3 linked regions of the Lepisosteus oculatus genome follow. The protein of the gene in region 1 interacts with the protein of each later gene in a pairwise test. Links are inferred from orthologs where the notes say so. Each region holds a gene or a part of one and is shown in the gene's direction. Other genes may lie near its edges.

Region 1 (10,506 bases):
CATAATTTTAATTTGTGATTAAAGAAATACTAAACATGCCTTTTAGTTTCATAAAACAAGTCTTGTTAAGTCTCCACTTGTGGAAAAGATTCTACATTCATCTTTACAAAACTCATGATGCATTTCGGTATCCAGGCTGCACAGTGATTTTCAGAATCCCATGATATGGTTAATATGACCCTGAAAGAAGGAGAAAATTATCTTTACAAATTAAACAGTTTTAGTTTAAGTTTAAGTGACATACAATCCAATTTTTAACTGTTTTTATCCTCACTCAGTGAAGAAGGCTAACTGGACAACAGAATCGACCAGAAACAAACGTCTTTTTTATACCCATCATCACCTTGTAATCTGTATTTCCCATTCTATCTTACCTTAGTAAGTCCCTCTACTGTATTCCTGATGTCGTTGTGTTACACCAAATTAAAAGAAAAGATGATGGAGAAGATTTTGAACAATTCCACAACTTCATAAAACACAAAAGACAAACTTCCCCTTAGTCAGCTCATGGGATTCTAAAAGACCGCGATTAATTATACTTTCTGAAAACCACAATTACTGTATTGTTCACAGTTAAAAATGCAAAATAAAAAATGACAATTATTACAATATCTTAGTAAAAAAAACATTGAGCAAAAAATGGCACCTGTGGTTATTTTTAAAGACTTTTATAATAAAGAGCTATGTCCTCATTTAAATTATTCAATATATTGTAACTTTCATCAAAGTTAAAACTTGAATTGGGTGAAAATCACAAGGCCCTGTACACAGAATAGTCACAGATGATTTTTTCTTTTTACTTCCAGAAGTGGATGAGAATATGATAATGTTCTCAAAATTATCCTTAATCTTTGATTTTCCACCTTTTTTTCCCTTTCTGAAGCTCATCACTAGAAAGTGGCTTTTTCTTAAAAGCACAGGTCGCTGTTCTTTTAAGACTAAACAGGACTAACCAAGACTAAAGAAGACATACTGTATAAACAAAAGCTCACAAATACAGTTTACAGACCTCGGTTAACATAGCCATCATGTCTCTGGAAGGCGAGAAGAAACCAAGAAACAGAAAGAAAAAGCACACAAATTCTAGGAGGAAATGCACACTTCTAACAAAACGTGCAAATCAAAGACTGGGAAAAACCTATTGAAATTTCAGCAGCAGAAACTGAAATGGTAGACATGGTTAATGATTGCTTTCTTAGTTTGTCGAAGAACAAAAGTCAAAGTTCTGTTTTAATTAGCATCAACATAGAAGATTTTAGATATCTGTATTTCAGGTACAAGAAGCATTCAAAATTCATTAATCTCCAGGGACCAATGGCATTCTACCATTTGTATTTAAGAAAAAAGGAGATTTTATTCATAACCCATTAACTTAACTCTTCCAGCAGTTGCTCGAGACAGGGGAAGTGCTATTGGACTGGAGAATTGTTATATATTGTTAAACACTGTCTATACTTAAAAAGGGTGATAAAACTAAACCAAGAAATTACAAACAGTCTATACTGCAATGTTATGGAAACAATTATTAGTACTAAACTATAGGATGACCAATATGGAATTCTTTGAGGAACAGTATAAGAACTGAACGTAAGATAGGGTGTATTTACATTTTCAGAAGGCTTTAGATAAAGTTTAATTCTTAAAATTACAGGCGGCAAGATTTTGGAAAAATGCACGTGTTTAAAAACTGGTTAATAGAAAATTGAGTGAAGATAAGAGGTGAATGCTTCAACTGGGACGGAAGTAATTAATGGAGTACCACTAGGATCTGTACTAGGGCCACCGCTTTTCCTACTTTGAATCAATTATCAATCTGATGTATTTGTCAACAAACTTAACTGATTTACTAATCTCAAAACAACATGATTAATAACCACTAGAAGCACCAAATGAAATTCAAAAAGATGTAGCTAGAATTGCGGGCAAACAGTAGTCAGATGTTACATATTGTGTTAAATGCAGATAGTATAAACAAACTAGAAATACAAGATGCAACACTTTGAGATTTAAGAGAGTTTCAGGTTTATGTTTACATCATTTACATTTTCTAGACAACATAGGAAAGAAGTAAAAAAGCATACAAAATGATATTCAGTCAGAAACATAGAACTCAAATCAAGGGATGTTATGTTAATATTGTAAAATACAAAAGTTACTGGTACTGTGAAATCAGTCAAGAAAAGAACAAACAGATACACTCTGGCATTCAAGTGATTGTCCTAAACTGATAGGCTGAAAGAACCTAACCTTTTTAGTCTTCATCAGAGAAGAAGAAGACCTGATTCAAATGCTCAAATTCCTCAGACGCATTAATTTGAAATGGACTACTTCAGAAAGAACAGTGAATCACAAACCCGAGACCTCCTCTTACTTAAAACCTTTTTAAAATTCAGTTCTGAAAATGGAACAAACCTGCTCTTAATTTTCATTTTTGCCCTTGGTTGTTGGTTTAATTACTTGAAGCTTGAACAACCCTTACTTACTGTTACAACCTCAGGTTTTTAAATCCATAACAAATAAACTAACTTTCAGAACAGAAATTGATCTGGACCTCTTCTTCACAATATGTCTAGAATATATCTATCCTGCCTGGAGGATGAATAGCTAAACTCTACAAAATATTCCAAATGAAGTATTATTTTTTCATTAGAGTAAATTTAATTTATTTGAATATTCACTCATTTTTGGCCTTCTCAATGGATTCTCCAAGCTATATAGATTACAAGTTTGAAAACATTTACATTCGAATGCTTTTCATGGACCACTTCCTTTATTAACACTATTTTAAAATAACATACATTCTGGTTTCTTGCATTCAGGACTCTTTGAACCTGCAATACAATAATTTCCTAGGCTTTTGCCTTTTGCTAGGCAACTCAATAGTGTCTAAAAATGTTTCACTATGGGCCTAGAACGGTAGCTTGCAATGTTGACTAACTAGTAGCCTATATTATGTAAAATATGTATTAAATAAGAAGTGTTACTTCTTAAACCTTTGCAAACAGTAATTACAATACTCAGAAAAAAAATACTCACAGACTCTCCAGCCTTGCAACGCAGACAGAGCTGTACGAATCCGCCATCTTCAGATGCATACCTCTGATAAAATAACATAGAGATGAGGTATATTAAAGATATTTCCCTGGCATTTAAGAAAGCACAATATACATAATAAAACACTATATGTATGCTAACGACTAAACTAATGTTTGCAGAGTTACGGATTGTATTAATAAATTAAAACAGATAGTAACTGTGTTAATAACTAATGCCTATTTTATTGTTAAAGAACAAACATACTGGAAATACATACAACATAACAAAGGAGAAAAAAAGCTGATGAGAATAAAACACTTGAATTACAAAATAAAAAAGCAAAGGAGACATAAAAATACCATTCTTTCAAAGGACAGTCAACATAATGCCTTCAATAATACACAACATTATGGCTCTCTTTGTATAACATACAAAGCAGAAAGTAAGCTTCTCAGTTTTGAGTCTGGCATTTAGCATTAAAGTTAAAATTAAATGGGATTATATACAAGTGGATCACTTGTCACTCTTTGTTTCCTATTCCTTTCTGCAACAGATATATTAGAAGAGAAGGGAAAAGGTAACTGGGGTCAGTTTCATGTGCCTTTCATATTAGCCCATTTCATAGTGAACCCCTTGGGTCCAGCCATACAAATTCCACATATCTTTTTTGTAGAGAGGAAACTGATTTGAACACCTGATATTTCCACCAGGATAAATTGATTTTGTTTAGGGTGCACACCAGTTAGATTTGAATATAAAAAGTTAGGGGTTTGGTGTTTTTTCATGCACAAATTAGGCTTTGTCGCTCTTGCTACTTGTCACATATAGCACTTTTGAGAATTTTAAATTAAAAACGCAATGCACACATTTTCACAAGCTGCAGTGGGTGTCAGTCATAATACATGACCGAATCAATAACATTTATTCGAGGTGTTTAGGTATAAATGAGAAATAAGATGCCTGAAATATGCACGTACTGTAAAACGACGTGAAAACTTCTCCTACCATATCAGAGGTCTGGGTGGAGGTAATACAGAGGAAGGCAGTGCAGTTTGGATTCCGTGACCGAGGAAGAGACTGCTGCTGATGCATGTCCCAGGTATCCATGGGACTCTCTGTTAACTGTGTGCTCACAGCGCCATTTTCAAACTGATTACAACTTCCAGACCCACTGCAAAACCGCTTCTGGGAAAGGAGTCAAACAAAGCACGGTAACCCTTAGCAACGTGTTTGCCTTGTGTTGTTATTGGTAGCTATAAGTAACATTTCAGTTCTTACAAATGCTTCAAATAATTCAAGACACTGCCACTGTTCACTGAATGAAATAAATGTCCACTCTTCCGAAAAAAAAAGATGCACTCTTGGCATTGAAATAGAAATATGCTGTCATTGACCTAATGCTGTAACAACCCAGCCTCAGAATTAATTTATAATACAGAGCACGTTTGATGCCGGCTACTATACAAAGACGGTGTTTTGAAGGGGAAAAAAGGCTGAACAGAAAACTACAGCCTCTTTTTTAAAAGTAAAAAATGGTCTATTTTGAAGCTAAAAAACTAACTACACGCACACTTTCAACTGCTTCAAGTGTAACAGCTACAATTAACCATGATAAAACCAGTTGTGCTCACATGATATGAATGATATGATATGAAAAGGGACTAAACATTGCCAAGTTATTCTGGCAGCACCACCTTTAGCACTAAAAATAGTCAGCAGATATTTCAATGCAGTGTCTATCACAAGAGGAGGCACATAAAGGTCATACTACAGTACATATCCAGTTTGTAACTAACACATCAAGTGCTTGATTCTTCGAAGTATAAACATTGTAGCAGCCGGGCGCTACGTACTGTAAATCCACCTTACATGTACGTCACCGATTGGCTTTCCCACCGGTTGGCGAAACACGCTTATGTTGCATGTCCTGACTTACCGTCTGGTTCACATTTACATCAAGATCCTCTTCGTGGCGGCGTTTGTTCTGTGCTGGAACCATGCAATCCATCGACATTGCCATCTGATCGTACAAATCAATTATTTTCAGGCAAAGTAATAAAAGTTAAAAAGCGATCCCAAGGATAAGAGAACATAAACGATTGGATATTTTTATTTAAAAATATAAAGTAAAATAGCATATGGTTGGGATTGTACGCTAACCATTCATTTCCATCATCAGTAATGCATTTCAGGTCTATTACCCTTCACTATAGTCCATCGGATACAACCTTGAGAGTTTTCTTCAGTTATCTTTTTTTCCGCAGCGGGAAATCACGTTACACAGAGCACTTCATTAGTACAGGAAGGACAACAACCTATCAAAGGAGACGCTAACCAGAAACGTCAGGACGTGCACGCCATACTTCTGAGGGGCAAGACGCGGTGATAGTTGAGTAACTGGGACTAGAACATATTTTGTACATATTAAATATATTTACGTTTAATAAAATAGTAATAAGATTTAATAAGATATTTAATATTTTCTGTAGCAGTTCAGGCGAAATTCATTAGTTTCCAAGGGAGACTACAGTGAATAAACATGGTGAATTGAAACTCATTGCAATCCAAGTATACTATAACTTTATATACCATAATTTATAAAATACTTGTTCATAACATTAACCTGAAATATCTGCAATAAATAATTGTCTCTTTCTACTAAGTTAAAAAAGTTTCATTTTGCTCACGACCTGATGTTAATGTCTAAACATAAGTAGCTCAAAGTGTTAATTGACAGCATCATTAAGTAATTTAGAATAAGTCTAAATTAGAATAGAATATGTGATAATGAAATCATTACTGATATTTCAACTAAGTGGTCAATTAACAGTGTGATTGTAATCTAAACTATATGGTATGTAAAAACTATTTTTAAGCAAAGTTCCAGAAATATTACGGCTACCTGTTATATTTTTCAAAAGTATAATTTGATTAAAGAAGAGAATACAGTCCTTTACTGTAGGTATTTTTAAAGTAAAATGTAGTTATTGATTGGTATCTGGAACCCTAAATTTAGTAATTCAAGATTTTATCAAAAAGAGAATATGAAGCTCATAGCTTGGGCTACAAGGAAATCTAAGGGAAACAAATCGACACCTATGTAAGAAGAAATATGCACCATCTAGCCAAAAAGATACACGTTTAAAAAATATTTCGAATGTGTAACATTCTGAGAGGCTATATTAATCTTCAAGTATTGTTTTCTAATATCCCTCAATGATAGAATTGAATGTTTCCTTATCCTCGGGTGCTGTTACTAATGCCTTGTTAACTCAAACTGTAGTTCGACTCCTGTTCGATTAGTTCAGTCTGTCAGCATGGCGAATTTCGTGCAAGCCACTTCTTCGCAGCAATTTGAAGATTTGTTAAAGAATGCAGGAAAGTATGTATCCAGATTTACATGATTACCTGATATGTGTGAAAGCTGTGAAATGTCCATTCTAAAATAGCTGTAACTGACATTGTGTGATTTTAAAGTTTTGGCTTAGTAAAGCAGTGCATAGTCACAGTCTGAAGGCTACAGGAAAGTCACGGAAAAAGGCATTGTGTGTACGTGCAAAAATATATTAAAATATTCGAAAAGTATGTTAATTAAAATAACCTTAGAATCGTTATAGCACTAGCCTTTTAATTATGTTTGTGAAAGTGTTAATATAAAATAAAATATCGATCTCTTTGGATAAAATAACACAAAGGGGAACTTGCTTACAATATAAGAAAAAAGCTTGTTCTTTTGTACCAGAATAAATTATGGTGAATCGGGGCATAGTGTTTCGCCTTTGTGATATGGATTGATGATCTTAATACATTTTGCATCACAAGCAACATCTTACAGTTGTCTTGGACGAACCTACTACTTGACAGGCCTGATGCTCGGGCCGCGATTTCCCGGACTGCGACAGAAAAGCCATTGTGTTTTCTGTCTCGGGATATGTCCGTAATGTTTTAGTATTTATGGGATATACGGAGAAATAAGAATATAATTTGTTGAGAAACTGTAATTGAAAAGTAAGAGACGTTAATTCCACGCTAAAATATCCTTTTTACATAACCTCTGCTCGTTCCTGTAAAAAATGAATGTACTGTAAAATGTAATAGTTTTGTAATCAACGTTTTATTTGCATTTGCTCTGTTAAATCAAACAGAAAGGAACAGTATCTAATTTATGTATATGTTAAACTATTTTCACATTTTTTAAATTATTTTTTTTTAAATACCCATTTGTCATTTTAGGACTGCGGAGTACCTTAATCTAAAGAAAAGTGTAGAGTCTGTAACCTTCACGATAAAAACTCTTTATTTTGAGTTAAAATAGATTTATTGTATTTTTTTTGTTTTTTTTAAAGTAAAATATTTTGCATAAAGAGGCAATTTTACAATTGCTGTTGGAAAACAATATATTTAATTATACAGATTTCTGTTTGGGCTCTGCAAATTTCTGTCCTGAGGACCTGTGGGAAGATTGTTTTCACTGCATCAGTTTTACAGTAAAAAACAGTTTATGTGAGAGCTTGGGTGGGTGGTGAAAAAAGTATTTTAGGAGAGAAAGAGGTGTTGGATCCATGGGACTTGTAAGCAAACAAATCCCTCTGTAGTATAAAAAATGACAATAAACCTGTCTAAAAGATCTGAGCTTTTGTAAATGTGCATATGTATACTTTAATTTTGTTGTCTTTCCTGCCAGGTCTCTGGTGGTTATCCATTTCCTGGCATCATGGGCTCCACAGTGCACCCAAATGAATGATGTGATGGCAGAGATAGCGAAGGAGTATCCACAGGTGACATTTATAAAGGTGTGTATAGTATTGAAACCTACCATTGCCTATTTTCAGCACTCTAAATGCACACTGTTATACTGTTACAATGTATATTGATACATTAATGTATCACAGTTTATGCCTTTTGTGATATTACCATAACCGTTTTTTCTTTCAATTTTGTGTATTTGCTGTATTTGCTAACCATATCACAATAGGCCGACTTTCCATTTAATGTGTCACTCACACCAGACCCAGGCCATATGTTTTTTTCTTTTACAAGCACTTAATTTCAGGGTCTTGTCTATTTTTCACAATCCTTACAAGCTTATTTTTCAACATTTAGAATAAAATGTACGGTTTTGCATATCTACATTTCCCTGTAAATTCATTTCTCAATTCTCCATCTGATCTCTGGTGTTATGGGGATGCTGGCTCATAATGACTGCCTCCTGTCCCCTATTTAGATTTTACACTCCCTGAGCCCCACAGTGCCTTACAGGAGAGCTTGCACCAGTGGGAGGCATGATGCAGCTCACACTGGCACTACTTAGCATGCAGCAAGTATAACCTAGTTAATTAACAAAAAGCTGGGCACTGCTGCTTTGGAATACCTGTTTACAGTCAGCAAGTGACGAAGTCTATATACAAGCTGGCAATTTCTGAGCTCTGGTTTCTGTTCTGACCAAGCACCTTTACCGAGTGAGCCACTTGTGTTTCCATCTCCAAAAGCTTTTGGCTCCAGACTATGCTGGTCTTTTACATAAATAAAATGGAACTTTCATTGTGTGCCTAAACCTTATACTAAACGGACAGGTAAAGGTTTATATTCCATGCTGAAAAGAAAAGAAACAGAACGATTCGCCATGGATCCTACACCAGTGGTGAAAGTGTAAAGGAGGTTCCACAGCCAAAACGTTGTTTGTTTTCTTTTCAGCATGGGATAAGCCTTTACGTGTCCCTTTGCAGTGTGCGCATGCTGCCGCAGCTACCTACTTAAACATTATTACAGTTGGTCCAAAGTAATTTTTCCCTCTTTTTGAAAATAGATAATGTTATTTGAAACTAATGGTAAACCTATTCCTTTGCTCGTGTCGCATAGTGAAACAAAGATAAAACATTCTTGTGAGGAAGTGCTTAATGTGCACAGAAGCCGTAGATACAAGTTTAAGCAATATTATAGTGGTAGTCGCTTACTGTTTGTTAAAAATGTACTTGTTAGACTTTTATTCTTTTAAGAACCAGAAAAATATAGGGCCTCCAACGGTAGTATAACAAGGAGGGTGTTTTAGAAGAATGGAAGTCAGTGTCTTACTTGATAATGTAAGTCATACTCTTGAATTTTTTTTTTGCTACAAGTAAACTGTTTTTAGGAAGTTCAAAATTGCTTTTGGTGCTCTAATGGCTCTTGTTACTTTTCTAGGCACAAGGCTGAACCTGGCCTTTTTCAAAAGTGATCTGCCAGCAGTTCAGGATTGGTTTTTGTAATTTAAAGTGAACACAGGTCACTGATTGATTGATCTGTATTTTTTTTTCTGCAAGGTCTGCTTGATACCAGCAACCCAGCTATATAATTTTTCATTTTAATAGATTTTCTGCCCCCCAACTCTACCCTTGAATTCTTCCTGCTCTATTCAAAACTCATAAAGTCTTCTCTTTCTTTGGCCCCAGAGGACCTGGTTGCACTGGGCTACTGGCTTTCTCTGACCTTGCCTGCTAGTATGGTCTCATTATCTATTGAGTTAGGCACAAGGATAAAGACCTGTGTCTCCCCTACAGTGATCGGTACACACTGTCTTAATAATAACAGTCTTGCAAATCCTCTGATTTGAGGTGTCAGTTTCTCAGATTGTATGCACATAAATACCCTTAAGCTGTTCAGCTGAGGAAGCTCTATGCCATGTGTTTATCTTTACATTTCTGTTATTAGCAACTCATATTTTTCATTGTCATTTTTTTTTGCTTTGCATTTTTACTTCACTGCTGTCAAAACTGCAGAGAATACTTTCAAACTGTATCCTCCTTATTTGCTTTCAGTACACACCAGAACATTTAAGTTGTATCAGACACTTTAAAAAAATATTTTGGCATGCATGGTTAGGTTAACAACAACCCACTCAGTCTTTTTGTGCTGATATTTCATCTTTGCAGGAATATGCCCAACATTGATTTAGCAGCAAAAAAACTCTCAGTTACAAATTCATTCAAACTTTTCTTCTTCCTTTATATCCTTTCTGAAATTGAGTAGACCTGTACTATATTGGACTTTTAGTATCTAACATGCTTATAGAGATATGTCTTATAAAATATGCTTCAGTATAAGAGCTCACAAAAATATGTATTGGCCATCATTACATTATAGCAAAAATTCCTATTTTTGCTTTATAATCTTAGATTTCTTGTGTATGTGTGTGTCACTTATGATGTACTGGTCCATGGATTTTGTCAATAGAGCAAACAGCAAGATTTGCTAGAGGCGGAAAATAAGTGCTGTAATCATGACATAACTGGGGTCAGTGATTTATGGATTTCAATATCTGGTAGCTAAATACGATTGAAAATTTACTGGGTCAGTAGTGCATCAACATTTTCGTTCTGTGCCTGAGGGCATTTCTTGAAATGTGTAGTAAAATAAAAACCTCTGAACCCATTTTGACATTGCACTCACTGCAGGTAGGGCAAAAAATGATGCAAAACCTCATATAACCCCTGC
Region 2 (10,325 bases), on another chromosome or scaffold:
AACTTTTATATAATTTCAAAATATTATGTATTTATTTATATAATTTTAGGATATTAGGATGTATTCTAGAAAAATCATTCATTTAAAAATGACCATCTCACACAAAGGACATGCACAGAAATATCCGGAATATTTTATTTTAGAATCTGCAAATCTCCTTCTCTTTCCTGGTAATGTTTTATTGCACATTACAAATCAAATGAAGCAAGAATAATAAAGACTATACTACAGCTGCTTCCTGATGTGTACTTCTATATCATTTCTGAATACCTCTTGTTGTAACAGAAAAATACGTTCTGGATCCCGAGATGAAGTTTAAACAACTGAGTTTATTGCATGCAAGGAACAATAAGATCCAAGTATTGTTCGGAATATAGGTACAAAACTTACAGTATATATAGCAAACTTTAGCCATTTATGACACAAATTTTTACCATGGTAATTGGGGGAGGTCACCTGTGTTTGGACATTCCCAAGACCTTGACCACTTTGAATGGCAGGTTTTTATCTTTCCTTAGTTAGGGGGTCTCTATCTTGCACTTAGAATCTCTTATCAGTTAACTCCCCTCCCAGCCATAACTCAAAGGTGCTTAAGCCTGGAATATCTTGTGTCACAAGAAATCTCTGTGTAGAAAGAAATCAGCTAACCCCTTTTTCACATCTTATATCTTTCTTCAACCTGTGGTCAACCATGCTTATGAGCCTCAAGACCAGTGTAAAACAATGTCAGGAATCTGTGGCTGTATCATTTTCCCAGTTAAATATAATGATGTACCTTTTTACAAATAATAACAATGAAATTGTCACTTGCTCCACTCCCGGACTTTATATCCATCCAGTTTTTAAACTTTCCAGCTGCAATCTCCCGTGTCACACAAGGAGGGTGAAGACCTAAGGGAACACTCCCCCTGTTAGGTCTACTTCTCATTTGATAAGCTCCTCCTAGCTTACAACTGCAATATCATACTTTCTTTATGGGGATTTTAAATCTCAGCTTTAGAGCATGTGTCAATTTTACAAACATAAATGGTGAAATGCCTTGGGTATTTCTCTTGATATTAACATTATCTTTAAAAAATCAATAAATTGAGTAAATACAGTAAGTGCTTAGAATTAAATAAAGACATTAAAATGTGGAGCTGTGCATTACTGTGAATCAATTCATTGTATGACTTGCAAATTTATATGTGAATTACACAGACTGATTGACTCAAGATAGAAATGAATACAGCAGGAGTCTATGATCCCACAAAGTCATCTTGAGTTATACTTTTACACACAGAACAATTCATGCACACTCTTGATATTTATTAGTGATTAACTGATACACTATATCAGCAGAGCTACACATTTCCTCAGCCTTAGTTACAACAAATGATATACCCAGCTTTTCAATATCCTGATAAACCATTCTAATTCGAACGTTTTATTTATTTTTCTAATCTTTCTCAGATATTGTGAGGACAATTGTGAGAGGGACTATGAAGGCACTTTTTTTTGTGAAATTTAAATGTGATTTAATGAGATGTTTGAGGTTCAGTGAAACTCAGAAATCTTTAAAACCTTTAAACAAATCACACCCCTTCACACTACTCAGAGCATCGGACTTTGTTCTGAATGAAGAAAAAACTTAAAGAGCAAGTGTAGCTCTACTAGACAACAGGATTAGATTAGACTGCAGTTACCCTTTTTAAACACAAGACATTGTGGGCACCTTCAGAGGTTGCCTGTTTGTGATTGGTGACAGCAGTGTCATTTACCTGTTTGCAGCCTTTAAATTGCACAAGGGTGATTTGTTACTGACTCATTTCTGCAAGGCTTTATAACTCTGTACATAGGAGTGGAGTTTTGCAGGCACTGATTGAAGACTCCTGCTGGACTTAGAGGGCTATTCCAAGAGGTAGTAATTAAGATGCTAGGTAAAGTTTTCCTAGTCTTTATCCTACAAACTCTTCTTTTCCTGACTATAGTAATGTCATCAACTTCATCATCAGAAGAAGACAGCAGTGTTGAAAAAGAAAGTAAGGAGCACCATAAAGGTAAGCTGACCATTTGATTCCTCGTTTTCAATTCTTAAACACAGATTTAGGAACATTTGCTACATAAGTTCCTCATTTTATTTTTCAGGATAACTGACAATTTGCAATGTGCAGTTTTTGTTATAAAAATTAATTAATGTAAGACAAATGCTACACAAAAGGCTGGTCATCATCAATACAAGGAAACTGCAAGTGCAATTGTCATCTCGCTCATTAGAGGGCATTGGTTTCACATTCAAAATGGCATTTTGCATGTTATGTGTGTTTGAGCTAAGCTACTGTAGATTCACTTTCTCACAACAGAGAGTGAGAAGAGTCAAAGGAAAATAAAAATGTTTATTATAATGAATCAGCGAGTCCGTATTAACTAGTAAAGAGATTTAAAAATACAAAGTCTGTCTGGGTGGTTTATAGCAGTGAATCCTGCATCCATTGAGCATGTGGACCTGATCATTTGTCTAAACAGAAAAAGCCCTGAAAGGCAATTTGCAAATACTCTATTAACTAACCCATACTGTTGTGAGAATGTCATTCATTTGCACTTACCATAAAGGATCACACAATAGTTTACTATTAATACAAATGACATATTTTTCATCAGCATTCAATTAGTGCACACCATAGTCCCCATATCTATCAGTTTCTCAAACAAGGTCATTTTCATAATATGCTGTGGAGATCATATTCCCTGCAACTGAAAATCTTCAAAACAGTACTGACTTTCCTTTGGGATTGGCCTGTAATGCTCTTATTCACTTTTCTATATCCAAACTTTGTCGGCATTTACTTCATGTCAGAGTTTTGGGGGATTTTTAGAGATACCCGTCTAAGAGATAACTCTTAGAGATAACTGATCAAGGGCTTCCCTATCACCAAATCACTAACATCTTTGGCATGAGGTTAGAATCACTCCATTTTCTATTGGGCATTTTCTTATTTGGAAGAAAATAATTGAAGTAGGACAATTGGTCAAGTAAAGGTAAAAGAGCGGGAAGCAGGTGCTTCCATTGGTCATTGACATCTGCTCTTTAGGAGGAAAGCAGAGCCTCTTAGGTGAGAGAAATCAGAGGGAAAAGGGATCAAGGAAGTAAGAGAAAGAGACTTAAGTCTCAGAGAGATACATGTTAAAAAAGAGCTCTATTTTTATACGTTATGGTTGCCTTTGTGTGTCACTTTATCAAGATGCTCAGGTTCAAAGATTCCTTACAGTACCTTTCAGGTGTTCCACATGTAATGCAACTTTTATATAATTTCAAAATATTATGTATTTATTTATATAATTTTAGGATATTAGGATGTATTCTAGAAAAATCATTCATTTAAAAATGACCATCTCACGCAAAGGACATGCACAGAAATATCCGGAATATTTTAGTTTAGATTCTGCAAATCTCCTTCTCTTTCCTGGTAATGCTTTATTATTGCACAAAATCAATTACAAATCAAATGAAGCAAGAATAATAAAGACTATACTAGAGCTGCTTCCTGATGTGTACTTCTGTACCATTTCTGAATACCTCTTGTTGTAACAGAAAAATACGTTCCGGAATCCGAGATGAAGGTTAAACAACTGAGTTTATTGCATGCAAGGAACAATAAGATCCAAGTATTGTTTGGAATATAGGTACAAAACTTACAGTTTATATAGGAAACTTTAGCCATTTATGACGCAAATTTTTACCATGGTAATTGGGGGAGGTCACCTTTGTTTGGACATTCCCAAGACCTTGACCACTTTGAATAGCAGGTTTTTATCTTTCCTTAGTTAGGGGGTCTCTATCTTGCACTTAGAATCTCTTATCAGTTAACTCCCCTCCCAGCCATAACTCAAAGGTGCTTAAGCCTGGAATGTCTTGTGTCACAAAAAGTCTTTGTGCAGAAAGAAATCAGCTAACCCCTTTTTCACATCTTATATCTTTCTTCACCCTGTGGTCAACCATGCTTATGAGCCTCAAGACCAGTGTAAAACAATGTCAGGAATCTGTGGCTGTATCATTTTCCCAATTAAATATTATGGTGTACCTTTTTACAAAAATAACAATGAAATTGCCACTTGCTCCACTCCCGGACTTTATATCCATCCAGTTTTAAAACTTTCCAGCTGCAATCTCCTGTGTCACACAAGGAGGGTGAAGACCTAAGGGAACACTCCCCCTGTTAGGTCCACTTCTCATTTGATAAGCTCCTCCTAGCTTACAACTGCAATTTCATACTTTCTTTATGGGGATTTTAAATCTCAGCTTTAGAGCATGTGTCAATTTTACAAACATACTGTAAATGGTGAAATGCCTTGGGTTTTGCTCTTGATATTAATGTTATCTTTAAAAATCAATACATTGAGTAATTAAATACAGTAAGTGCTTAGAATTAAAAAAAGACATTAAAATGTGGAGCTGTGCATTACTGTGAATCAATTCATTGTATGACTTGCAAATGTATATGTGAATTACACAGAGTGATTGACTCAAGATAGAAATGCAGCAGGAGTCTTTGATCCCACAAAGTCATCTTTGAATTATACTTTTACACACAGAACAATTCATGCACACTTTTGATATTCATAAGAGATCAATTGATACACCACAGTATATCAGCAGAGTTACACATTTCCTCAGCCTTAGTTACAACAAATGATATACCCAGCTTTTCAATGTGCTGATAACCCATTCTAATTTGAATGTTTTTTTTTTATTTTTCTAATCTTTCTCAGATATTGTGAGGAAAATTGTGAGAGGGACTATGAAGGCACTTTTTATTGTGAAATTTAAATGTGAAAATGTTAGATGGGTATATACAGTATATAAAATATTGCTGTAGCAAAGCTGCTTTAATCATGTGGACCTGTATTTAACTCTATTTAATGAAGATGCTAGACAAGATCTCTTCAATGAAAACAAAACATTTTTTTTCTCTGTAATAAAAAAATACCTGCGGGAGTTAAAGCTAAAACAAACATAAACGATTAACTCAAAAATTGTAGGACGGACATAGCTTCTACAGAATGCATCTTTTCCTTCTTCTTTGAAATTCTAGAATCTGGACAGTAGTGCATACTGGGAGATTTAATGACATGTTTGAGGTTCAGTGATACTCAGAAATCTTTAAAACCTTTAAACAAATCACACCCCTTCACACTACACAGAGCACCGGACTTTGTTCTGAATGAAGAAAAAACTTAAAGAGCAAGTGTAGCTCTACTAGACAACAGGATTAGATTAGACTGCAGTTAGCCTTTTTAAACACAAGACATTGTGGGCACCTTCAGAGGTTGCCTGTTTGTGATTGGTGACAGCAGTGTCATTTACCTGTTTGCAGCCTTTAAATTACACAAGGGTGATTTGTTACTGACTCATTGCTGCAAGGCTTTATAACTCTGTACATAGGAGTGGAGTTTTGCAGGCACTGATTGAAGACTCCTGCTGGACTTAGAGGGCTATTCCAAGAGGTAGTAATTAAGATGCTAGGTAAAGTTTTCCTAGTCTTTATCCTACAAACTCTTCTTTTCCTGACTATAGTAGTGTCATCAACTTCATCATCAGAAGAAGACAGCAGTGTTGAAAAAGAAAGTAAGGAGCACCATAAAGGTAAGCTGACCATTTGATTCCTCGTTTTCAATTCTTCTTTTTTCTCCTTCAGAAGCACAGCAACAGTGTCATTTGATAAATACTTTTTTTCGGAGTGTTTGTCGAAATGTATTTTTTGTAAAGACAGAGCTAATGTTTAAGACAGTTTACTTAAATATTGAATTTAAAACATCTTCACAAAAGGCATCTCCAAATAATTATTTTGTCCCTGATTTTTCTGATATTTGATGGCAAGGTTTGATTTTGTTTCCTCACAAACATTCAGAATTACACTTTATTTTGTATCACAATTTGTCTTTTATATATAATTTTAGTCAGATGAATACTAAAACTATTTTATAAACCACTGTCAGAGTACTTTAAATAGACAACCAAAGAATATAATACAATTTTAATAAAATCAGAAACAATAAGGATTTCTTGTCAGCTGTGAAGAAAAAATCTTTGACTAGGTTGTCTTAAACTGCCACTTACTGGTGTGGATCAGTTAACATGCAACCTAGAAAAGAAAGGTATTTAGTAAATAAAGCTAGTGACCCCTGCCTAAATTTTACCTTTCCTGATAGAAATATGTAATAAGTTAGTGTAAACTATTTAATTACAAACTTCTGATGAAAGGCATTTATAAGTAAACTAATTATGATTTAAGTGAATTTAAACTGTTACCTTGAAGAGGTGTGCAGTCCAGTCCTATTTACAATTCTGGATTATCATCACTGTCCTGGCACACTGTGAAGGGAATTACTCTTAAGATACCTCTCTTAACAGTGAGAGCAAATAGAGCAAAAGCACAATTTATTTTAACTACAAGTAAAACAAAACATGTCCAGAACACATATCTTAACATTAATTTTATTATCATTACTTTTAATTTAAAATTATTTTTGCATTAATATAAAAAAATAACCAAGTCTAAGTGAGTCCAAGTGCCGAAAGCACTTGCATTCTGTTTAGTATGCTGGAATTTCTAACATAGTTCAGATGCGTTTCATTGCTGATTCATGCCTACAGTTTAACGGCTAACAGTGGTTTTCAGTGAGGAGCCAGTGTCTACGTGCAGTTCAGTGAGTTTTGACATGAATCAAAGGGATATTACACTACATCACTGTATTTCATCATGAATACTGTGCCAGCTGTGAAATTACAGAGAAGGAAAATAGAAAATAAGAATCTCTCTTCCTTGGAAACACAACACCAGCATGAAGAGTTTTTGTTTCGTTTACGAATTTAGCAAGCTATACAAAGATAGAAAATGCTTTAAAGTTTTAAATTTTGAAACAAAAATCTTGAATTTCTAAAATGCACCCTATTTGTTAGTGTCCTTAGAAAAGACAACAAAAGACAACCAGAAATAAACACACCAGCTGGGTTTTCTAAAAAAAAGTTTTTAAGAGAATATTAATGCTGTGGACTACATTGTTTAACAAATTTAAACCAAAATATTCTATTTTTGACAGAAATTAACATATGTGTATTCTATGCAAATTCTCTTTAAATGAGGGGTCATTCAGACTAAACAAACCGGAACTATTTTCAAACAAATGAAAACAGATAAAATAGTCATATCTACCTACTATATTTATTCAGCTACCAGTGGATTTGTTATTTTGGATTCTGTTTTTTTTTGTCTGCACACACAGGAGTTGTTAGACACTGGATATATAAACTCAGTTTTCCAGATGTCATTTTCATCAACAATTAGAACACGAGCTTTAGGCATGATTCACCCAGGAGCTGGACGGTGGACGAAACCTCATGATGTGGAAAGCGAATAGGGTCAACCTGAATGCATTACTGAGCAAATCTGGATGTCAGCCAAAAGAGATGGAGAGAGTGCTTTATACTTCCATTGTTCTCTGACTGTTACATTAACAAAGAACAAGGACTTCTTTGGTTCTCAGATGTTCTCCTTAGTGAGTTGCTTGTGAAATAGAATTCTGGCTTCAATCGAAGCTGCTCAGCCGATAACTAAATATGGCTAATACTCACAAATGCCATAAACACCACAAACCTGAATGCTTAATAAACCTGACCCTTGGTTTATTGGCACACAACTACAGTATATTGCACATGGCATTTGAGAATACACGCGATTATATAACAAAATAATAGGATTGTTTGATTCATGGCTAGAAAGCAACTTTAATCACAAAACACAACAGTACAATTCATTGTATCTTATTGACCAACACTTTCGTCCTTGATAAATGTCCTGCAGCTCTGGTGCTGGACACCCACAGACCTGCAGGTTTTATAGGCAGCCTCAGTAAGTCAAGAAGGAAAGATCTGAAAAACATGTTTATTCCTCCTAATTAGGCAACTGACTGATCTAATTAAGTGTTTCAGAGCTCACCTGGAACAAAAAACAGGTAACACTATGCTTTCCAAAACTATGGTTGCTGACTCCTGATCTACTTTTATGAAGCCAGAAATAGACATATCTGTGACAAGACTACTGACTACATACTGTCCCTGGATTTGAGAGAGTATGAGATTGCCAACACCTGTAAAATATCAAGTCCCATTCACACTGTTTTCAAATGCTGATGAATTTCAGTGAAATACTAAGATGTGGTCTGTGTATTTAAAATTACTTTTTTTGGTGAATTTTGTGACATATATGTAATGTAAAGTAATGTAAAGTAAACTGTAAAGTGTTTGGGAAATTATAAATGCAAACAGTGAATGCAACAAATGAATAAAATATGTGTTGGACATAAGGTTTAAGTTATTAAAAGTCATTGAGTAATAGTATCTGGGGAAATGTAATTGGATTTTCTTTCTAATCAGCTGGGGATGGACTGCTGAAGGGTCCTGATAAAAAAAGATTTTGCAATAATTTTAAGGTTATGTATAACATAAAAATTCATTTTTTTCCAGTCACTTATTTGTGACTGCAGAATATTTCAAAAATACTTTTGATTTCATGCACAGTATTCTTTAGCTACTGTAAAAAATGTCTGTATTAAATTAAACACACCTACAATACATAAACGCTGAAAACTCAGCTTGTAATGGGTAAGAGCTGCTTAAAGAAAAGCATTTTTGTATTTGAACGTGAGTGTATATTCCTGTTCCTATAATTTTTTTTGTGTGGTTTTCTTTTCTACAATGTGCTCTTACAGTTACAGCATACATTTACAGAAAAATTGTTTATTTAGGTAGTTTTCAAAAACAATAAAAAAGGAGATGAGGCTGACTAATATGTTAGTCCACAGTAGGTCTATAAAAGTTGTTCGGATCACATTTAAAATTTTCATCACTGTAAGAAATCACCAATTGTGTTTCACAATTTGGAAAAGTTGATACTTTTACAATTAACGACAATAATTTACTGACAGTATTTAGTAATCATGCGTCTTTTTATATATTGCGTCAGTTAAGTGTGCAACTACAACGGATGTAGATAGGACATTTCCTTAACTCATTAGTATTTTGACTCGTACTGTAAATATTTAAATGTATAGGTCAGCTCTTTTCTTGAAAAAAAAAACACTTTTTACCTGTTTTCTAATCTCCAAAGACACATTTTCTCCATTGGCTTTTATTTAAATCCTTTGTTGGACTCAAGGTCAATTTTAATAATTTTTGGCTGGATTCTTTGTTGAATCACCACATCAAATTTCTTGCTATCAATCATCAGCTTTTTAATTTGGTGTTGTAATGTGCTCAGCAAAACATAGTGGGATTCAACAAAGAATCTAGACATTTTGTTTTAATACAACCTAATTTGTGCAAACTGTGTCCCTCTCTAATAAAACTATTACTTAAAAGCATCTTCACAACTTAGTTTGCTTTATTTTGTTTGGAAAATGAATACAATTTTAAGGTGAGTTTAATATGTCCATTCACCATTATTATTTCTACCAAAAGAATTGTATTTAAAATAAAATAGTTACTGATTTTATCCAGAGCAACTCAACATCTCTGAGGATAATGTAGAGCATAATTAGGGTGTTCTTTACTTAACAAATTTGCTTGTACTAACCATTCTACTGCAAAGTAAAAAACACAAAGCATTACTCATTATCCTTTTAACTTGTAATGTTAACCATAAAGATAATGACTCTTAATTAATAAAGATATTTGAGAGTTCCTAACTTGATATAACTCAATGTTAAATTTCAAACAGTTTTTTCAGTGGTACTGTAGCTTTTTAAAGTCATCAAGACCAAGGAAATAAAAAACAATATCCATCATTCATCACTGTTAGTGTAGTTAATGGTCTAAAGAGTTTTCCACCCCCACCTTGTGAGGAGGAGGGTGCAATGTAGAAATAAAACAGTTGTAGTGCCAGCTTTCCTGTTGTCTGCGAAACAGAACACTAGAGAAGAGAGGCATGACAGCTGAGAGTGCTGGTTTCACTCCCTCACACACTCCTTATATATTGCAGTATGCTAGATAAAGCTGTCTGAGAATAGGGGCATAACAACTTCTATTGCTGGTAGCAACAATTCCACACACTTTCTTCATGTGTACTAGTTTATGCTATTCTGAAATACACAAAACCCATACCAGCTCAACAGAGAGTAAATCTCTCTCTCTCTAGTCTTCATGTAGAGATAAATCTTTTGCTTATTATTACATTTACAGCATGCTTTACAAACCTGACTATGACCCTTTCCTAAAAATATGCCATATTACTGTACAAACATGGAGGACCAAAACAGACACCAAACATAAATATCAGGATTTTGCTTAG
Region 3 (10,622 bases), on another chromosome or scaffold:
AGGGAAATATTTTGTTCGATCTCAATTATTTATTATCTACCAATAATATGCTTTTCTTGTTCCTTCGGTTCAGGGAAACAGCTGGTTCCCCTTGTGTTGCAGTTTGATCTGTGTCAGTGTACATGAGCTGCTGGATTTCTGTACTTACGCCAGTGCTATTACCTGAGGTTTTTTTTACCTTGTTAAGCCTTACTTATCTTAGAAAGATGTGTTTTCTGCTTTATTTGTGCAGCCTGCGCTAGAACGAGTCTTCAACTCATTCTCGCGCAGTGATATCCTGGCCTGTTTTTCATGCTGTGTTTGGGTTTTCACAGAGAAAGCTGCCCTCCCCTCTCCCCTCTCCCCAGTGCCAGCAGCAATGGCAGGGACAGTGCTGATGTCTCGGTCACTCTGCCTGGGTTATGGCAGAAAGCTGGCGGCTGGCGCACCGGTGGCCGCGCTGTGCTGCTGGACCGTCCGACAGCCCCGTGCTGTGCTCCCGCTGTGCCTGTCCTGGGCGACCCCACCTGGCCGCTCTGTGCACTGCAGCTCTGTCCGGTTCGCCGGACACAACAAGTGGTCCAAAGTGAAAAACATCAAGGGACCCAAAGATGCTGCCAGGAGCCGCATGTTTATGAAGTTTGCCTTGATGATTAGACTGGCTGTCAGAGGTATGTCCTTTTAGGGGAGAAAACCCCCCTTTTAATTCAAAAGTTAAACATCCTACATAAATCCAGTACTATGGTCACAGGAATTAGTTAATAAACTCTCTACTGCACAACAGAGAAAATGCTGAATTGGGGAATTTCTTCAACATTTTAACTAAGTGTGAAACATGTCAGCTCCAGCAAGGCTATAGTGGTGTTTAACCAATTCATTCACTATGGTGAGAAGTTCTCCCGTTGAATAGCACCATGGGATCTTCAGGATGTCGGTTTTAATGTCGGTGTAGAAGGACGGGACAAAGGATACTTTGTCACTGTTCTTAGAGTTTCTGATCTAGGGGAAAAACTGCCAGCTGTCGGTCCATCGGTGCTACTTTCAGCAGCAGCCTGACTTTGTTTAGAAGTCTCCTATTCAAGTACTAAACAGACCTGACCTTCTAAGGTCAGACAAGCTCAGGCATCAGAGTGGTCCAATTGGGTGTACAATCGGCATCTTGTTGTTGTTTTTTTACTCTCGATCTCACTGATCAGTGCAGAAGGAGGAGCAAACCCTGACTTCAATGCCCAGCTGGCCAACATCATTGAGCAGTGCAGGAGCAAGAACATGCCCAAAGCGTCCATCGAGGCCGCAGTCAAAGGCGCGGTGAGAAAGTCATTTTCTTACCTGGAGGACCTGGGGACCCCCTGTCCAAAGTTTGCATTTGATCGAGGTTCAAGGATCTGGAGGGATGCATTACATTAGTCAATGCTTTCTAGGCTTGCCTTGCCTCTGTCTGATGAGCACCAGTGCGCTTAGTAGCCAGGTAGACCTGGGCAACGTCTCGGACATTTTGGCTTTGCTCCCTCTGCTGTGGTTTGCAGCAGTCAACTGTGTCATTGTCCTTAACTGAAATCCTAAAAGAAATGAAAATCAACGGGTTGAATTAGAAAAGTTTTCAATGAATGCTTCGAAGTATATTGGTTTTTGAAAAGGGTTTAAAGGGTTTTGAAAAATATTTTCAGTAGAAGATTTCCAGGCTGAAACCTCATTGAAACTGAACTTAAAATTTGATAAATGCCCCAAATCCTGTCATATTAAAATGAGAAACCATGAATTAGGTACAATACAGATTACAAGAAAACACCAACCATAAAAAGGTGAAATCACAAGTATGTGTAGCTGGTAGCTTGGCTAATTTTCTGACAGTTCATCTGCAATCTTCAGATAACAACAACGAAACATAAGATTTCACATGGGCAGCAGTTTTTCCCATTTTAGGATGTAGAAGCTGCAGACTCTTACATAAGTAAACATCGGGAGCTTGACGTGTTTCAGCTAATTGTCAGCTCACTGTTTCTTTAACCGTTCTCTTTTCCCTCAGGACAAGTCCAAGGCCTCTTCGTATGCGCTTTATGAAGGCAGGGGGCCTGGCAGCTCCTCCCTGCTTATTGAAATCCTGACCGACAACAATGCACGATCCCACAGGGAGATCAAACACATCCTAGCGAAGAACGGGTATGCCCCCATTTTCCAAACATTCCAATCCCTTTTTCTTTTGTCATTTTTTTTTATATTTGGTATCGCTATTTTATATTGCCAATGTCGGCCCACCCAGTTTGGTATTGCTAATTGTTGGTGACTTGGGTCCTGGTAACCACTGCTGTAGTGCATGGGGAGAATGAGGAACTGCAGATTTGCTCCTCTTGCCCCCCACCTGTCAGACACACTGCAAACTCTGCAAACAGATTCTAATTTTTAAACTAGAGAACATTTTTGATTGGATTCTCGTTCGATTAACCAGGATAAATGGCTGCTTTAGCTTCTTACATAAGTCTGATCAAGACAGGCAGAGCTTCCGTCTGTGAGTGACCTCTGTTACTGGAGCGAAGCTTTGTCTCCCTCAAGAGGGACAATGTGTGATGGGGCGAGGTACAGTTTCCAGCGGAAGGGTGTGGTCACGGCGGCAGGGCAGGACGCAGCGGGACGAGTCGTGTCCCTGGAGAGGGCGCTGGAGCTGGCCATAGAGTCCGGAGCAGAAGACGTGAGAGAGACAGAAGATGAGGAAGAGAAGCCATTACTGCAGGTGGGAAAACCCTTCGGCTTTCTGCGACATTTAAGAATGTTTTTATTACCATCATATTTTCCTTTTTGTAAGCCCCAGTCAACCAACTCTTCCTTGCAAGCGTGGGGTTAGCTGCGGGTGTCTCCGTCACAGCAGGCCATGAGACCTCGGATGACCTGAAAACCCACCTTATTGTTCCTTTCTGTAAATAAGTCCCCATTGGTTCTGAGTGCTCATGCGAAATATCCAGTTTCCAAAGTTGGTTTAATACCTGTAGGAAGTAATAGAATTGTGCTGAAAAGACAGAAGCGAAGCTGACTTTGTGTTTGAAGACCCTGATGGCAGTGTCTCAGTGTCTAGTTTGTGCTGTTCATTTTCTTATCATTAGCGTTATCGCTTTGTCCTCCATGCCCTCGGTTCTGGGCATTTCCGTCCTCAGTCTCCCTGTGTTGTCTGGTTTTCAGACTTAAGCAAGCTCTTTCGTTGAAGTGATTTGTGAAACTGTTTTTCTGCGGCCCACCCCTGATTTCAGAAATAGCCAGCTTAAAAGTATATTGGAGCCAATAAAATTACGAAACACTTTTTTGTCTTCAGATTAATACAGACATGGTCTAATTTAGCTGTCTAGACAACTTTTATATTTATCCCATTAATGATGTCCAGACATACTGTAGATATGAATCACATTGTATTTAAATTTGGGTTTACACTAGGCAAGCATCGTGCGGTTCAGAAAATTGCCTTGAGCAGCGAAGTATGCAGTTTCTTGCCATATCACCAAAAGAATCGGAGGACGTCTTGCTCAGTGTTCCGTCGGGTCTCTTCCCCCAGTTCATCTGCGATGTGTCCTCGCTGCGCGGTGTGAGACAGGCCCTGGATTCCCTTGGGCTGCGGACGCTGGCGGCTGGCCCAGAGTTTGTTGCCTGCAGCTTGGCACAGCTGTCCCAGGGAGAGATGGAATCTGCCTCCAGGCTCCTCGAGGTGCTCAACGAATGTCCGGACGTCATCCGTGTGTGGGACAACATCCAGGGGGAGGCCTAAGCCTGCTTCTAACCACCTGCCTCCTGTTCTGGCCCTGGGCCAGTAGGGGAAAAGAAAGCAAAGGAGAGTTAACCATGGTAACCGGCTGACCTTCCTCAGGAAACATCATCAGGGGTCAAGCCCATATTTATCAAGGGATGCCCATAGTGGAGATCAGAGGCTTATCTAACTCAGTCTAGACAGCAAGAGGGGCTGTTGGCTGTTGTGCTGTGAGAAGGACAATAGTACAAGTTCTAGTGTGATCAAGAGCAAATTCCGTGTTGAAGGCCCCCACATAAGAGCATAAAAACAAATTGAGATCATTTGGCCCATCTTGCGTATTTGTTTACTCTCATTGATCAGAAGAATCTTGTCCAGCCTGTTCTCGAAGGTTCCCGGGGAATCATGCCTTCCATAATCCAGAACACTGGATTGCAAATGTTCTGGATGACTTTTAGATTCTGTTCAGAATTTTTGGATGTTGTATTGTACCTGTTTGAAATTAAAACCATTAATTTATGAAAGATGTGTGTGTGTGTTTTTTCAGGAATCAAAAAGCAAAGTAATACCCCTCTTGGTATGAATAGATATGACCGTATTAGGAGTTTAGCACTCACATTTCAGATTTTCCCAAATAACCTCTTCTACCACAATCGTGCCTTATTCCAACATGGATCATACATCATAAAATAAATGTTATTGTGTTTCACATAAAAATGTAGAACTGAAGCTGATTTTGAGTCATTCAACTCAGAGGATGGGGGTAAAGTGGTGTTAGGTATTCCTGTTTTTAAGTGTGAATGCTACTTATATTTAGAAGACATCCATCCACTTTTAAAACTGCTTCATCCACTTCAGGGTCGTGGGGGAGCTGGAGGCTATCCTGGCAAGGCAGGGTACACCCTGGACAGGACGCCAGTCCATTACAGGACACACACTCGCACCAGGGCAGAATCTCCCCGACGCCAGTTGACCTACCAGTGTGTCTTTGGACTGTGGAAGGATGCTGGAGCACCCTGTGAAAATGCATGTTAACTAAGGGAACTAAGTTAACATGCAAACTCCACACAGAGAGCACCCCAGCTCCCAGAATTGAACCCAGGACTCCAGCACAGTGAGGCAACAGTGTGTCACTGTGCACTCAGAGCACATAAACTACCCAATTGCAATAACCTGTGTCTTTGTATTACAACACTCTTTCTTTTAAGTTTTTTTTTGTCTTCTCTGTAGAAGAAATAACATGTGGTACACAACTCTAGTTAAATCCTCAACTGCTGATAAAATGTTTGATATTGATTATATCAAAATCTGAATTGCAGATTAAAACTTAACATTTCGGCTAAGTATCATGTTTAGGTTTTACAGATATTCAAAGTCGAATATCAAATCTCTGATGCTAGTAATGACATTTTTGTAAATACATCAGCGTTTCATCTTTTTTTTTATATGAGGAGCTTCTTTTTCGTGTAAAAAAAAATCTGAAATTTGTAACATCAGCAATTGAGGATGAATATTCTGTTTGAATCATCAGTATCCAAACCGGTATCGACGGGCAACAAAGCGAAAGCGCTCCTCTTGACCACCGATGACAAGCTCATGGGGGGGGCAAACCAAATATCGCGGTATGCTGGCCCTGCACACAAAACTAGATGACGAACCAGCACAAAGTTCATGACGTATTCGGCAAGGACGTCAGCCAGTAGATGCGTGTCTGTGTTGGAACTTGTCGGGCGCTGAGCGCGTAACCTGGCTGCCGTAAGAAATCTGCGGAGGAACTGCGCGCTCCCGAGCGAGTTTGGTGCTGTTTTAGTGCTCTTCATGTGAATTGTCGGTACCCTCAACAGTTATGGGGAGCATCTTATTGACCAGAAAGCTGAATGCTGTAATTGTGCCACGTTAAGGAGCTTTAAACTACTTTAATTGAAAAACAACATAACTTTAGGTTTTTTTTTTTTTCGGAAGCTGACTGATGGGTTCCGGTGACTGAGTGCGTTTTTTTTTTTCAAGTCAGGAAATTCGCTGCAAGGAGATTAAATTTACTTTGGAGCGATGTGCATGCGGACCCGAGCTCCTTCAAACACCGTTTCGTGAGTTTTTTTTTGTAAGGTCCCTTTTTGTTTTTTCTTCTTCTTCTTCTTCTTTCGGAAAAGCGGGTGTGTCTCGACTTCAGCCGAGCTGCCCTCTCCGCGCTTGTCAAAACCAGACCGGACCGAAAAAATACAAAGTTTTTTTTTTGAGGTGGGGGGGGCAGAGATCTGGGCTGCTGTGGCGAAGGTCTTATTAAAACCATCAAAGCAGAGATGGAGAAGACATGACATGCTCCGGTGGGAGTCTTCAGCGCCAACCTGCAGCTCTTTTCTGGGGGTGGAGGAGGGACACACTTTTGTTTTTAAAGAGGGTGTCCTCGTTTGCAGCGGTTTCCCTTCGCCTTTGGGGGAGAGAGAGAGAGAGAAAAAAAATGGAGATAACTGATTTTCACAACTTCACCATAACGTCACGGGTTTGCTTGCGCCGGGCTGCTCCGTCTTGTTTTTAAAACTTGACGGGTTTGCAAAGTCTGACGGACTCGTTTTATTACTTCTCCGGAGTCCCCAGCCTCGACGCCAGATCTGATTATAGCCCCCAAACCGGGGCAGTGATTTCATGATTATCTTTCTGCTCGACCGGACAAGCAGTTTTTGTTGGGGTTTTTTTTCCTTCCGCGGTGCATGAAAATACGGATCTTCTGTTTCCCACAGATCGTTAACATCGTTTTAACTTGAATAGTTTCGATAAGTGTTCTGGTTTTCCTTCTTTTTTTTTTTTTGGTAATTATTATTTTGTGGAGGCCCTGCGCATCTATCTATCGGGACTTTTGTGGAGAACAACAACAACAACAACAAAACAATATATCCTTGCGTGATAAGAAGACGGCGGAAAAAAAGTGCGAGTTTTGCAGGAAAGGCGTGCGATCGAGAAAGCGGTTTCGTGGTGTTGTTTTTTTTTATTCTCCCTCTCGCACGGACACCAGGATTTCATAAATGCCTTGAAGTCGACTTTCTCCACCCCGGGACACCCCTTCCACCCGTTAACAACCCGTACATGTGCATTTTTTTATTGTGGACTTCAGCGACACTCTGGAAGAAAAACTCGTGTTTTGACCCGAGGCCAAGAAAAATGTTTGAACTTAATTTAGCAGCAGACATAGCCTGGCTTCGCTTTTTTCTCTCGGCATGCTTGTCAGGAAAATCCAAGACTGCATTGGACGTTTTATAGCTGTCTGGATATTTTCTTGTCAAGGGGAGGAGAAAAAAAAGCAAGCTGAAAACAACCCAGAAACGAAATAGCACAGTTTCACTTTAATTCGTTTCTCTTTTTTTTTGTTAACTTGTAAATCTCTCGACAACCCGGGACTACAAGTGCTCTGACCGACAGGACTCGAGATTTGTTTTTTTGTTTGTTTTTTTCCCAGTTTGGTTGTGTTTTGCAAGTCCCGCGACCAGTTAACGAGCCTTTCGGGATTAAAAAGCGATGTATTTCGACAGCTAGCGAGGATGCGTGACAACTGAGCCCCCTTTTTGCAAGCGACTGTCGGACTGCTCGCTTGTTCGGGAGAGTCACTTGCGGAGTGAGCTGCTGCTGTTTTGCTCGGGCAAGAGGCAAGCGTGTTACCCCAGGAGGTGAGACAGCTGTGACATTACTCACTCTTTGCATCTGTCTGAGGTGGTGCTCAGCTCGCCAAGAAGGGGTGTACTTAATGCGTTAACGTGGGTTTTGTTCCTGCTTGACCTATAGAGTTGTTTTCTGTGATACCAGCTGCTGTATGATTCCTTTAAGAGGTCTGGAGACAGTGCGTCAAATTACCAGTTACATCAACGTCTTTTCACAGTTTCAGACCGTGATTTTTCCCAAGATTTCCATTGTGCACAGCTGACCCAAAATGGCCTTTTCCTTCTATACAGTTTGGTTTTTATGACGGGGCCTTTTGGGGGGAAAACTTCCCGTTGTATTTCAGCAAGGCAAGCGTCCAGCTCTTACAAATAATTGCTTTTGTCATGCATGCGTTCTTGGGCTTTAAATTAGAGAATTTAGACAGATATAGAAAGTTGCGTAGTGCGCTATGAGCAAGGTTCCTGTGCCGGTGACCTAGAGAGCAGAGGAGCTGCAGAAAAACAACTTTCGAAAACACGTGCTCGACAGTCTTTTTGACCAGCAGTATTGTTGTGGATTTCTTCAGAGAGGCATGGAAAGAGGTGAAAGGCTTGTACACAAGGCCTTCTCAGTGGCTGGGGGGCTGTATTTTTCACAGTGCTGAGAACACATGCAGTGTGCGTCTAGTTACGTCCTAAACAGGACACAAAACTTCACTTCATTCCTTTGACTTTGGCAAGTGCCTCTGCTCCTCAGTTGTGTGGTGGGGTTCAAGGATTTAGTATGTGAGAAGGTGCGGGTTTGTGTGTCAGTTTTGTGTTTCCATTTGTAACTCAACATCTATAGAAAGCTTATTCTTCTTATCGGCCTTAAGGCACAGCAGGCCAACTCTGGTTTCTGCACCACAGTGCAGCAGGTTTTATAGGTTTCTTACATCATCAACATGTAAAGACTTCAGTTAAGAGTTAAGCAGGTCCAGTCAAGCTGCTAATTAGCCATTTACTGCAGGTGATAGAATATTTTGTATTAGATAAAGCGATTAGAAAAAGGATGGAGGAATGATGGCGATACCCTCTTTGTTTTCAAAACCACTGTATCAGTAATGGCTCAGGCCTGACTTGTAGTCCCTCAACCTACTGTGGGATCGTTTTGAAAAGCCCACAAAATTGCCAGCCACTTTTTAATCCCTTACTTGTGCGCAAGGTCACCGAGAGGGGTAGTTGTTTCCAAAATTGTATAATCCACTCCAAAACCAAGTTGCTCGGACGACTAGACATCTTTGAGGCAGGCTAATGAAGTGTAAAATTGTGATGCCCCAAGGGGCATCCGTGACAACGGATTCCGTTGTGAACATGGCTTTCATCTGTTTACCTAGAAATCAGGGACAAAATCTGGAACAGCTCCCCGCTGTGACCCTTGGCTACCAGGTGGGGAGGCTGCATTGTCTGGGCTCTGCCGGTGTGGAGGCTCAGTCGGCTTCCATTGTTCACCCTCAGTGCTGTGCTGCTACTGCAGGTTTGCGTGTCGCCATCATCGGGTGTCCTCCCGGTCCCTCGCCCCGGTCCCTCGCCCCGGGCCCTCGCCCCGGTCCCTCGCCCCTGGGCCCTCGGGTTGGATGGAGGCTGTGCATGATTTGGAGGATGTTGTCGTACCTTGCCTCCCTCCTGCGTTGTTCTGAGAATTCCCTTGGTGTGCATTATTGCTTAGACCACTGGCGATTCCAAAATCCTGGGTCACGGTGCGACGAATTCAAAGTTAAGCTCCCAGGTTTGCCCGAAGGAGAAGTCGGAGAGAGATTCCAGGAGCCCTGCGCCACAGCTGTAGTTTTTTAAGTGGATCCAGGAGCTGCCCACGCTCACAGCAGGTTGCAGTTATCCCTGCGTGAAAACAAATTGCACTAGGGCCCCGCTCCACCGAGGGGAGCGGAGGTGAAAGCAGGGATTAGTCCTTGCAGCAGGAGGAGCTGTGCATTGTGATCCAAAAAATATCATTTGTTTCCGAGGCAGAGAGACGGGGTGATTCCAGGTTCGTTGATGGTGCAAACATTTTACCACGGCCAGCTTGTCATCTGGGTTTCAGTCTCGCTGACGGTGGTTTCCTTGAGCTCAACGTTGACCCGCTAGCTAGCCGGATGAGGTATTATTTAACAGTTTTCAGATCCTGGGGATTAGAAATTGGCCTAAGCTCTGCAGCTGTTATTACCAACAGATGCGATGCTTACCGAGGGACTGATTGTTTCAGTCAATTACCCATCTGATCAGCACCGATTCGGCAACCTATTAAAAGCTGTTCATACAGCATTAGTGTAGTGATTAAGTATCAAGCAAACTGTCAACAGACTGCATTTACCGGCAACCACATATTTAAACCAGGGCTATTCGGAAGCCAAGCTCCATGTAGTTGGGAAAGTCCTCCTTAAGAAAATAATTAAATTAAATTATCAGTGCAATGCACTGGCGTCCTGTTCCCGGTTTGCTCCCAGTGCCTGCCGGGATAGACTCCGGCTCCCCCACGAACCTCAGTCAGATAAAGAGGTTAGAAAATGGATGGACTGGACGTACAGCAATGAGGACGTCGCTGTCACAGAGGAGTCGGTGCTGTTAACTGCACCTTGGAAAAGGGAAAAGCAAACTGGGCTGAAGCGGGAGATGAGTGGTGCAGGGAGGGAGACGTGTGGACAGACAGGTCACAGGAGAAAGAAGTGGGGTTTTCAGGCCTCAGGAATGGGATACGTGCAAAAACACATTGAGGTGCTTCGCTTCGTGGGGCAGATGCTTTCAACAGCAGAACAGTAAGTGCTGTGCATTCCTGAAATTCATCCAGGAAGGTTTGCTGAAAGCAGCGAAAACCGAGGAGAAAGCGCGTGACCGAGCAAGTGTTTTAGGGGCAGGGAACACTCTGAACAGGACGCCAGTCCATCGCAGAGCAGACACACTGATACTCACTGCATAGACAGTTTTACAGAAGCCATTTAACCTACCAGTATGTTTCTGAACTGTGGAAGGAAACTGGAGCACCCAGAGGAAACCGACGTGAACTGGGGGAGAACATGCAAACTCCACACAGACAGCACCCCAGGTCCGGAATTGAGGCAGCAATGCTAACTACTGTGACCCAGTCCCTACCTCTCTTGACTTCTGTCAGCTTTATTTTTCTGTGCTTGTAAATCATATTGTTTCTTTTTTCTCGTTTTCCTTGGTGGAACTTACTATATGTAGTAATAAGTACTACATATCAGTCTTGCTTTAGATTATTGTGCAGTGTTAGGTAAATAGTTAATATAGAG

The links.
Region 2: the proteins of glrx3 (region 1) and ca9 interact in binary tests that used the Homo sapiens proteins (3 or more experiments, as listed by UniProt). The two-hybrid records come from large-scale screens. The link is inferred for Lepisosteus oculatus from reciprocal best matches to the Homo sapiens genes GLRX3 and CA9.
Region 3: the proteins of glrx3 (region 1) and map3k3 interact in a two-hybrid assay, tested with the Homo sapiens proteins (2 studies listed by BioGRID and IntAct). The link is inferred for Lepisosteus oculatus from reciprocal best matches to the Homo sapiens genes GLRX3 and MAP3K3.

Annotation. Positions count from the first base shown.
Region 1 is NC_090699.1:25,571,122-25,581,627, reverse strand, and holds the start of glrx3 (glutaredoxin 3), read left to right. Parts: upstream 1-6,310; 5' UTR 6,311-6,353; coding exon 6,354-6,418; intron 6,419-7,720; coding exon 7,721-7,829; intron 7,830-10,506. Other genes in the region: uncharacterized protein C10orf143 homolog, read right to left, coding at 151-180, 3,037-3,099, 4,042-4,221, 4,973-5,056. UniProt on the Homo sapiens protein: Together with BOLA2, acts as a cytosolic iron-sulfur (Fe-S) cluster assembly factor that facilitates [2Fe-2S] cluster insertion into a subset of cytosolic proteins.
Region 2 is NC_090698.1:46,945,230-46,955,554, reverse strand, and holds the start of ca9 (carbonic anhydrase 14), read left to right. Parts: upstream 1-5,127; 5' UTR 5,128-5,496; coding exon 5,497-5,623; intron 5,624-10,325. UniProt on the Homo sapiens protein: Catalyzes the interconversion between carbon dioxide and water and the dissociated ions of carbonic acid (i.e. bicarbonate and hydrogen ions).
Region 3 is NC_090723.1:1,796,792-1,807,413, reverse strand, and holds the start of map3k3 (mitogen-activated protein kinase kinase kinase 3), read left to right. Parts: upstream 1-5,424; 5' UTR 5,425-7,365; intron 7,366-10,622. Other genes in the region: translational activator of cytochrome c oxidase 1, read left to right, coding at 359-650, 1,181-1,287, 2,006-2,139, 2,530-2,707, 3,518-3,727. UniProt on the Homo sapiens protein: Component of a protein kinase signal transduction cascade. Mediates activation of the NF-kappa-B, AP1 and DDIT3 transcriptional regulators.